Linked DNA regions of Oryctolagus cuniculus. Each later gene encodes a partner of the first gene's protein in a complex. Links are inferred from orthologs where the notes say so. Each region holds a gene or a part of one and is shown in the gene's direction. Other genes may lie near its edges.

Region 1 (4,505 bases):
CACTCTGCATCATGGTTTTCCCAATGCCGCCCATCAGCTCGCGACCCCGCATTCCGATCCTGAGGAGGAAACCAGGATGGGGACATTTGGGAACAAAAATTTTTGACCATTTGTTCGTTTCCACTCTGGTAATATATTGAGCCCTGTTAAAATCTAGACATCTCTATCTTAAATCCGATCTCTTTCCATCTAGGGTAATAAGAAGAAAGATCCATTAGTGTCTACAGGACATTCTTAGGGCCAACTGCCTGTAGTTTACTGGTGGCAGCAGACATGGGGTGAAGTACATGTGCTGATTTTGACTTCAGGCTCTATATGATCCAATAACGACACCTATCTTTAGACACCGTTTTCTGGTATTAGATTTGAGTGAGACCCAGGTTGGAGACTGTTCTGCAAATTCACAGGCTGTATTAGTATTACATTTGCCGGAATGTTTTGACAACTACAGTAGTTTAGCACCAGTAAATCCTCAGTAAACGATAGTTCGTAATGTAGGAAAATGGGAATAACTTTTTCAAGTGGTAAAGTGACTTTCAAGTATGGAGTATATCTGCTTCATCTGTACATCGTTTTCAAAGACAGTAGAGCCGCTTAGCAAGTTTCATTTTGCCCACTCAGAACAGCAGTAGCAACCATTTACTGAGTACTTAATTAATACGTGCCAGATGCTGTGCTTGATTTCTGCCTCTCCCTGAGCTGGTGTTACCGACCTCACCCTACACTTGAAGAGACTCAAGTCTCCAATTTGTCTTAAGTCACCAAACCAGCAGCCGAACGACTCTGGAGCTCAGATTCTTAGGCTCGGACGCCTTGAACCCGAGTCTCCTGGCTGCACGCGGTCAGGACAGCTGGGAACTGGAACGAAGGACGCGCCACTGGGGCTGCGAGCCGGGCGGGTTCCGCGGCGCCGCCCGGAGATTTCCGCTGCGCTCCTCACCTGAGACAGGAGAAGGTGCCGAAAAGCGCCCCGGCCGCCATGCCCACGGCGCAGCCCATCACAAAGCCCATCTTCACACGATCGAAGCAGCTTGGCTGCGATTGTCCGTAGGGACCCACGGCCACCGGCATCTGCGGAATGCGAGAGAGGAAAGTGCGGGCCTAGCCGCCAGCCCGGGAGTCGGGCAGGGCGGGGAGCGGGCCCAGGGGTTCGGGGAAGTCAAAGGAGGGGAATCAGCGCGCTGCCCGCCTCCACCACCATCTTCGCGTTCGGGCTCCCGCGTCGCGCGGTCGCGGGGCTCACACGGCCCCTCCTCACCTCGCTCGCGGCCTCGGTCGCTCAGCAGTACGTCTCACACGGGAAGCAGGGCGGGGCGCGCGCGTGGCCCGAGGAATCGCTTCCGGTGCGCGAGGCAGCACTTCCGGGAGCCTGGGGCCGAAGTCGGCCGCCGCTCCAGGTGGTGGGCTCGGCCGCCGCGACCATGCTGCTGCGATCCGCCTGGCGGCGGGCGGCCTCGGCGGTGACCGCGGCCCGAGGGGCGAGGCCTGCGGTGCCCACCCGGGAGCTGCGCCTGCGCGGTACGCTCCTGGGCTCTTCGCTGCCACTCTCCCTGGAGGCGCGCGTCTTTGCCCCTGGGCGCCACTACGCACTTGGATATTCTGGAACCTCCTTGTCCGGCCCGGCTGCCTTAGAGCCTCTGCCCTTTGCCGTCCGCCGCGCTCAGTCTGTCTGCGCAGCAGACCTGGACAGCCTACGAGGCTCGTCCTTCGGACCGCCCCAGCCGTCTTTTGGAGACGCGGTCCGCGGCTTCTTCCCAGCCCGCTACCTCACCTGCTCTGTCTCCGCATTCCTTCTACGGGGCTTTACCCTTGAGAGTTCTTCTCACTCCCAACCAGGGAATTTAAATATCGCCCCAGCATCTTCCTCCAAGAACCGGCTCCCGCCTTACCCCTTACCACCTTTCAGAGGGTCCCGAGCTTCTCTGATGCTGTGTTCCTTCCCTTCCCGTTTGACCCCGGCATCGCTCGAATTTACCACCGCCTTCATCCCGCTTTCACCTCCCGCCCTGACGGCAGCCCGGCGTCCTCCGCCGCAGGCTCTCACTTGGCCGCTCCGTTCCTTCTGTTTTTCTGACAGTGGCGGACCATGCTCCCTCAGGCACAGCCGCTGCTCCGGAGGTGGAGGCAGTGCTGCGACCTCTCTATATGGATGTGCAAGCTACAACTCCTCTGGTAAGAAGGGAGCGGCAGCTTTCCCCAGGGCTGTCCACAGGAAGTGAGCAGTGGAAGTGACAGTGCCCAGAAATCGCTGGATTCTTGTAGACGTGAGAGCCCTTTGAGATGTGCCGGCAAGTGCCTCCAGCCGGGACTCAGGAGGCTTAAACCGCAGTCCACGAGAAGTGGCTCTGCCGTTGGATTTAGGCAGGCAGGGCAGGCACGATGGAAGTGGTTACAGTAAGCATGGGCTCTTGAAGTTAGCAGGAGTACCATCTCATAGCTAGGTGAAATTGGGCTGGTATCAAATCGGTTAAAAGACACAAAGCAGCCCAGCATATGGTCAGCACTCGAGAGTTAATGAAAATTTTCATCTCTGTGTGACAAGGGGCGTTTGCCTGGGCTCTGTCGTGTCCCAGCCCCTCAGAGGTCACATTTTCTGGCAGGAATGGAAAAACTTGCAGCAACAGCCATCAGCCCTCAGAACAAGGAAGTGTTTGTAGACCATGGAGGAGATGATAGAGAAAGGGCATGGTAGGACCCCTTGGGAGATGGGAGTATATTATGGTCGTATTTGGTTAGTATCTGAGGAGGTGGAAGAATGTGAGAAACCCCAGGCAGGCAGTGTCTGACTGGTCAGGAGTGTGTGGGCAGGGTATGTAGGAGTGGGAAAGAAGGCCCTGAGGTGACAACGGATTCTATTCTGCTGTGCCCAGGACCCGCGGGTACTTGATGCCATGCTTCCTTATCTGGTCAACTACTATGGGAACCCACACTCCCGGACACACGCTTATGGCTGGGAGAGTGAGGCAGCCGTGGAACGCGCTCGCCAGGTTAGTTCACAGGTGTCTGGGAGGTTCTGAGGACAGAGGGCTAGTGGCCTGTGGGAGGCATTTCCTTCTTGGTAGAAGTGGGTGGAAATGGTTTCAGGTTCTTTCTGGAAGAGATACAGACAGCACCTTGGTGTCTGACTGCAGGCATTTGATTACTTCCCACAATTCCTAGTTAAAAGGCCTTGGGCAAGTTACCTCATTTCTCTGAACCTCAGTTTCTCAAATATGAAATGGAGACTGCAATAATTCCTGTTCCCTGGGGTTGCTGAGCTGGTTAAATGAGACCGTACTGGTAAAGTGTTGATGAACACAATACTTGTACATAGTGAGAGCTCAATAAGTGCATTTGAAAGACCACACAGAATAGTATTATTGGGGGCTGGTAAAAAGCCTGGGATATGGGCTGTCACTGACCCTAGGACGCAGAGCGCTTCTTCCTGGTCCACTGGTAGATTTCTGTGGAGCTCTCTCCTCCAGAGCTCTGGCCCAGCCGTGTCTGGAGTCGCTTGCCTAGACCGATGTCCCCATAGTGTGGGAACTGATGTTATGCATCTGTTTCTTCGCTTGCAGCAAGTAGCATCTCTCATTGGAGCTGATCCTCGCGAGATCATTTTCACTAGTGGTGCTACTGAGTCTAACAACATAGCAGTTAAGGTAAGAGAAGCAGATCTGCGTCTTCCTGACTCGAGAGAGAAGTATTTCTCCATCATTTAGGCTCAGACATATATTTCACAACTACCTACCCCTCATTATTGTGACGAGAAAACACTCCTGGTTTGCTTTTCCTTCAGTCCTCTGCAGTCTACTCTGTTTTAAGTCTTTGTCTATTGGCCTGAGTTCAGTGAGGCAGTTGGTAGGAGAGGCTGTGGTTCTCAGGCCATTAACCACTTGGTTTCTTGGGTGGCAGCTACTTCAGAAAGTTGATAATGACGACTGAACTCTCTGCCTCATTCTTGTGATCTGGTAACAAGGAAGTCCCGAATCACTTGTACTTAGGCATGTTTCTCCTTCATGCTATAGCTTCACCCTTTTATATATTGGGGCTGTTCTCATTGTAGCAGTCTCATTTCTTTCTTTTTTAAAAATTTATTTATTTATTTATTTGAAAGGCAGAGTTACAGAGAGAGGAAGAAACAGAGAGAGATCTTTCTTATCCACTGGTTCACTCCCCAAGTGGCCACAGTGGCCAGGGCTGGGCCAAACAGAAGCCAAGAGCCTGGGACTCCATCTAGGTCTCCCATGTGTGTGGCAGGAACCCAAGAACTTGGGCCATCTTCAGCTGCTTTCTCAGGTGCATCAGCAGGGAGCTAGATTGAAAGTGGGGCAGCTGGGACTCAAACCATTGCTCGAATGGGATGCCTGTGCCGCAGGCAGTGGCATAACTCACTGTGCCATAATGTAGCTCCTCCCTTTTCCTTCCAGTCAAATCTGTTTGTGACAAGTTGCTTACTCCTTTTAATTTTTTACTTTTTAAAAAAAATTAATTTATTTATTTGAAAGGTAGAGTTAGAGAGAGAG
Region 2 (4,339 bases), on another chromosome or scaffold:
GCGGCCAGAAACGCAGCTTTGCCCACCTGCTGCCCTCGCCCGAGCCCAGCCCGGAGGGGAGCTACGTGGGCCAGCACTCCCAGGGCCTCGGCGGCCACTACGCGGACTCCTACCTGAAGCGGAAGCGGATTTTCTAGGGGGCTGGTGCCGGACGAGCCGCAGGGCCCGCACCAAATCACTTTTGGGTTTTCTGGTGTTTCGTTTTGTGTTTTTTTTTTTTTTCTTTTGAATTTTCTTTCTTTCGGTAATAGAGAAATCTCAGAAAGACTGCTGAGCAGCTGGCCGGAGCCCGGGGGGCATGGGGGCGCCCGGGGCCTGCTCCCCGCGCTGAAACCCCGCAGCCTTAAGAGAGAGGGGCCCCCCGCCCGCCCTCCCCCCTGATCGGGCCTTTCCAGTGCCTTGGAGGTCCCGGCCTCCCGTGAGGAGCAGACTGTCCCCTCACCCCCCTTTTTAACTCCGACAATTGACTTCGGTTTCCTTTTCTGATTTTTATTATTTTTTAAACCATCCAGGGCGCCCCCACCCCACCCCACCCCACCCCCCAGCTCTGGTCCTTCAAGGTCCCGCCCTCCTGGGCCTCCATTCCACACGTTGCAGTTTGAAACCGCTCGGCCCTGCCCTCTTCCCCACGTCCACTGCGGGCACGGCTGTCTCCTGGCCCTTGCCTGCCCGCTCTGGCCTGTGCCCCCCTCCCGTCCCCGTCCGCGCCACAAGTCCCCGCGCCTTCTGATGCCTTAACGCTGGGCCGCAGGCCGGCGGGCCAGAGCCTCTTGACTCAGGACCAAACAGCTCTGGCCTGGGGATGGCCCCCTGGACTCGCGGGCTCCACCCTGGGGACAGGAGAAGGCCAAAGCTGTGGTCTTGGCAAAGCACCCCACCTCCCCTCCCACCCAGGCCCGGGTGCAGTCCCCTGCTGTGTGTGGAAGCTCCCCCCACCCTGCCCGCCTCACTGAGCCGCCGCCATCCCCCCTCGTGGAAGACAAGCCCCATCTGCATCCCCAGGCTGGAGCCCGGAGCTGGCCTCCTTTTGGCCCAGTGCCGGAAGCCAACGAACGCCGCGCCGACGGGCCCTGCACCTGCGCACCAGCAGGACCTGTCCCACCTGAGTGTGCCCCGGCCTGCTGGGCCGCCAGCTTTCCTCTGGGGGACCCCACCCCCCAACGACATCCTCTCCCCTACCTTCCCACACAGACCTTTGCTGAATTAAAGTTTGTAAGTAAACGGTTTTAAAGAAATCAGAGCTGGCTGGTTCTTGGGGTCAAGCAGTGGGCCCGGGTGAGGACTCTCGGATGGCCACGCAGAGCCGCGCGCCCCATCCTGCCTCGCCTGCAACCGGGGTGGGCCGCCCTGAAGCGCGGTGGCGCTTGTATTGGGAGGATTACGGGCCGCGGTTCGCGGGTGCGGCCTGCGCATGCTCGGTTGCCGAGTCACGTGGTGCCTGTCATGGCCGCCTCCGTGGCCCGGGGCGGCGTGAATGCTAGGGGCCTGCTGCGGGCGGCGAGGACCTCCTGGCGGAGCAGACCCGGGAGCTGTTCAGGGTCCGGCGAGGCGCCGGCGGCGATCAGGAAGTTCTGGGCGACAGGTACCGGGCGCGGGCAGCGTTAACCCGTCGCATGCCAGCGGGGCCGGGCTCGGCCGCTCACCCAACCGTGTTTTCCAGGCGCGCGGCCGGCGGGAGAGGAGGAGAACGGCGGCCCCGAGCGGCCCGGGGACGTGTGAGTGCTGGGGCCTCGCCCCTCTTCCTCAGCCCTCGCCGTGGCCCGCGGCCGCCTCCGGGCCTTTGTTCGCCTCGCCCCCCTCAGCCCCTGCCGGTTCCCTAAACCTGGGTTCTGCGGGGCGGGGGGCGGGGGCGATCCCGGCGTCCACGCCCCCCTTTGTCCCCAGAGTCAACGTGGTGTTCGTAGACCGGTCCGGCCAGCGGATCCCAGTGAGCGGCAGAGTCGGGGACAATGTGCTGCACCTGGCCCAGCGCCATGGGTTGGACCTGGAAGGTAGTGGGCCCGGCCCGGCAATCTGGGGAGGCCTTTATCCGCTCTCCCAGAAAAGCCCCACCCGTCAGAAGTGGCTCTCCCCAAGGGCTCCCCCACCACGGAGGGGCTGCAGCCCCAGGACCTTTGCACCTGCTGCTCCCGCCGTCGGATGCACCTTCCCAGGCTGCTCTGGCTCCCTCTCGTCCCACCTGTTAGCTCTGGGCAGCCCCGTCTCCCTCATCCCAGCGGAAGTCCCCACGGCCCTGTCACTGTCCTACCAGTGCGTTTGTCTCCCTGTTCTGTCTTTGTCATCTGTCCCCACTGAGAGCAGAGCCCCTGTGGGCCTCATTCTTACCCACCCGCTGCCCATCTCAGCCCTTAAATGTAGCAGGTGTTAGGTCAGCATCTTAAAGACAAAAAGAGCAGAAATTACCTAACACCGGGGCCGGCGCTGTGGCGTCGAAGGCTAAGCCTCCGCCTGCAGTGCCGGCATCCCACGTGGGCGCCAGTTCAAGTCCCGGCTGCTCCACTTCTGGTCCTGCTCTGGAGGACGGCCCACGTGCCCGGGCCCCTGCCGCTGGCGTGGGAGCCCAGGAAGAAGCTCCTGGCTCCCACCAGCCCAGCCCTGGCTGTGGCAGCCACTCAGGGAGTGAATCAGCTGATGGAAGATTCTCTCTCTCCTCTCTGTGTCTCTGCCTTTCAAATAAATAAAGAAAAAGGAAAGAAATTAAGTATGTTAACATATGAACTGATTGGCTTTTAAAAGTTATTAATTTGAAAGGCAGAGTTACAGAGAGAGAGAGGGAGAGGGAGATTTTCCATCTGCTGGCTCACTCCCCAAATACCCACAGCAGCCAGGGCTGGGCCAGGCCAAAGCCAGGAGCCAGGAGCTCCATCCGGGTCTCTCCTGTGGATGGCAGGGGCGCAAACCCTTGGGCCATCCTGCGCTGCTTTCCCAGGCGCATTAGCAGGGAGCAGGATCGGAAGTCGGGCAGCCGTGGCTCGAACCTGTGCTCCTGTGGGGCCCTGGTGTGGCAGGTGCCAGCCCCTGCCTGCATTTCCATGGCAACTGTACACACTGGAGGAGACCAGACCCGCTGCATTTTCTAGATGAGGAACCAGCCCCAGGCTAAACAGGCCTGGGCCACTCAGGAAAGTGGGGCAGAGGGGGCACTCAGGGTCGGCACCAGCTCCCGCCTCCTGGGAAGCCCCAGGTGGCCGCCGCAATAGCTGGCTCCCTGCTGCCCACTAGGGGAGAGACTGGCGGGGTTCCTGGTTCCCAGGCATCTCGTAGAGGGCAGCAGGGGGGCGGGGCCCGTATGTCTGTCCTCCGCCTGTAGAGAGTGGAGGGAGGAGGGACAGGTAAACACAGAGGTTAACGCCCTCACTTTGGTTGGCAAACACTCTTCAGAATTACAGTGGGGGAAGGTGATCAAGGGGGAGAAAGACAAGAAATAGGACGTGGGGACTCGAGGGACCACTGGAGTTGAACCCCCAAAGACAAGGAGGAGCCAGTGATGAGAAGAGCATCCCCGGTCATGCATGAGTGTAGCAGGTGCAAAGGCCCTGTGGTAGGATGAGCATGCTGTGTTCGCATTGCATTGAGGGTAATGGGAGGCGGGGGGGGGGGGGGGGACTCCAGGCCTGGGTGGGTAAGTTCTGGATTTTGTTCAGGGTGTGAAACCCTGTGGCAGGTTTTAGGTGACGAGGGACACTCCCCAAGCACAGACTGTTCCGTCAGAGGGTTCCGGGAGCATGCCCAGGGGCAGGTGGTCAGCAGGAAACCCCCGCTTCTGCCTATTTCGGTCCTCATGGGGGGTGGGGGCCCCTCCCAATGCGGCCGGGCACGGAGCGAGCTGGCCCCTCCCCCAGGAGCAGCGGGAGGGAGTTGGGACCAGAGACCCCGCGTGGCCTCTCCTCGCGCTGGTTGACGCGCGGTTCTCCCCCGGCCACCAGAGCTAGCAGAGTACAGGGTGGGGTGGTGGGGCACCCCGCGGGCGCGCAGGCCCTGGAGGGAAAGCAGGGGCCCCTCCCCGCCGCCCTCGGCCAAGCGGCACCTGCTCACCCGCGCCCTGTGCTTCCCGCCCGCAGGGGCCTGCGAAGCCTCGCTGGCCTGCTCCACCTGCCACGTGTACGTGAGTGAGGCCCACCTGGACCTGCTGCCTGCCCCGGAGGAGAGGTGAGTGGGGCGCTCGGAGCGCCGCGCGTGGGCCCCCGCCGCCGCCGCCGGCCCGCTAACGCCGCCCCCGCCGCCCCAGGGAGGACGACCTGCTGGACATGGCGCCGCTGCTGCAGGAGAACTCGCGGCTGGGCTGCCAGCTCGTGCTCACCCCGGAGCTGGAGGGCGCCGAGTTCACGCTGCCCAGGGT

What was found.
Region 2: the proteins of NFS1 (region 1) and FDX2 are in contact, whole or in part, in a cryo-EM structure (PDB 8RMC), measured with the Homo sapiens proteins. The link is inferred for Oryctolagus cuniculus from reciprocal best matches to the Homo sapiens genes NFS1 and FDX2. Residues at the interface, in NP_066923.3 of Homo sapiens: Gln153, Lys157, Leu160, Asp161, Arg164, Ala168, Tyr175, Ala384, Ser385, Leu386, Glu387, Pro388, Tyr390, Arg393, Gln456, His457; in NP_001384335.1 of Homo sapiens: Ala104, Cys105, Glu106, Ala110, Cys111, Pro141, Leu142, Ile169, Thr170, Arg171, Asn172, Phe173, Tyr174, Val175, Asp176, His178, Lys181.

Annotation. Positions count from the first base shown.
Region 1 is NC_091442.1:22,508,129-22,512,633, forward strand, and holds the start of NFS1 (cysteine desulfurase), read left to right. Parts: upstream 1-1,421; coding exon 1,422-1,518; intron 1,519-2,077; coding exon 2,078-2,172; intron 2,173-2,870; coding exon 2,871-2,987; intron 2,988-3,557; coding exon 3,558-3,641; intron 3,642-4,505. Other genes in the region: ROMO1 (reactive oxygen species modulator 1), read right to left, coding at 1-59, 941-1,071.
Region 2 is NC_091447.1:67,066,421-67,070,759, forward strand, and holds the start of FDX2 (ferredoxin-2, mitochondrial), read left to right. Parts: upstream 1-1,376; 5' UTR 1,377-1,443; coding exon 1,444-1,582; intron 1,583-1,660; coding exon 1,661-1,715; intron 1,716-1,884; coding exon 1,885-1,991; intron 1,992-4,061; coding exon 4,062-4,149; intron 4,150-4,228; coding exon 4,229-4,339. Other genes in the region: RAVER1 (ribonucleoprotein PTB-binding 1), read left to right, coding at 1-137. UniProt on the Homo sapiens protein: Electron donor, of the core iron-sulfur cluster (ISC) assembly complex, that acts to reduce the persulfide into sulfide during [2Fe-2S] clusters assembly on the scaffolding protein ISCU.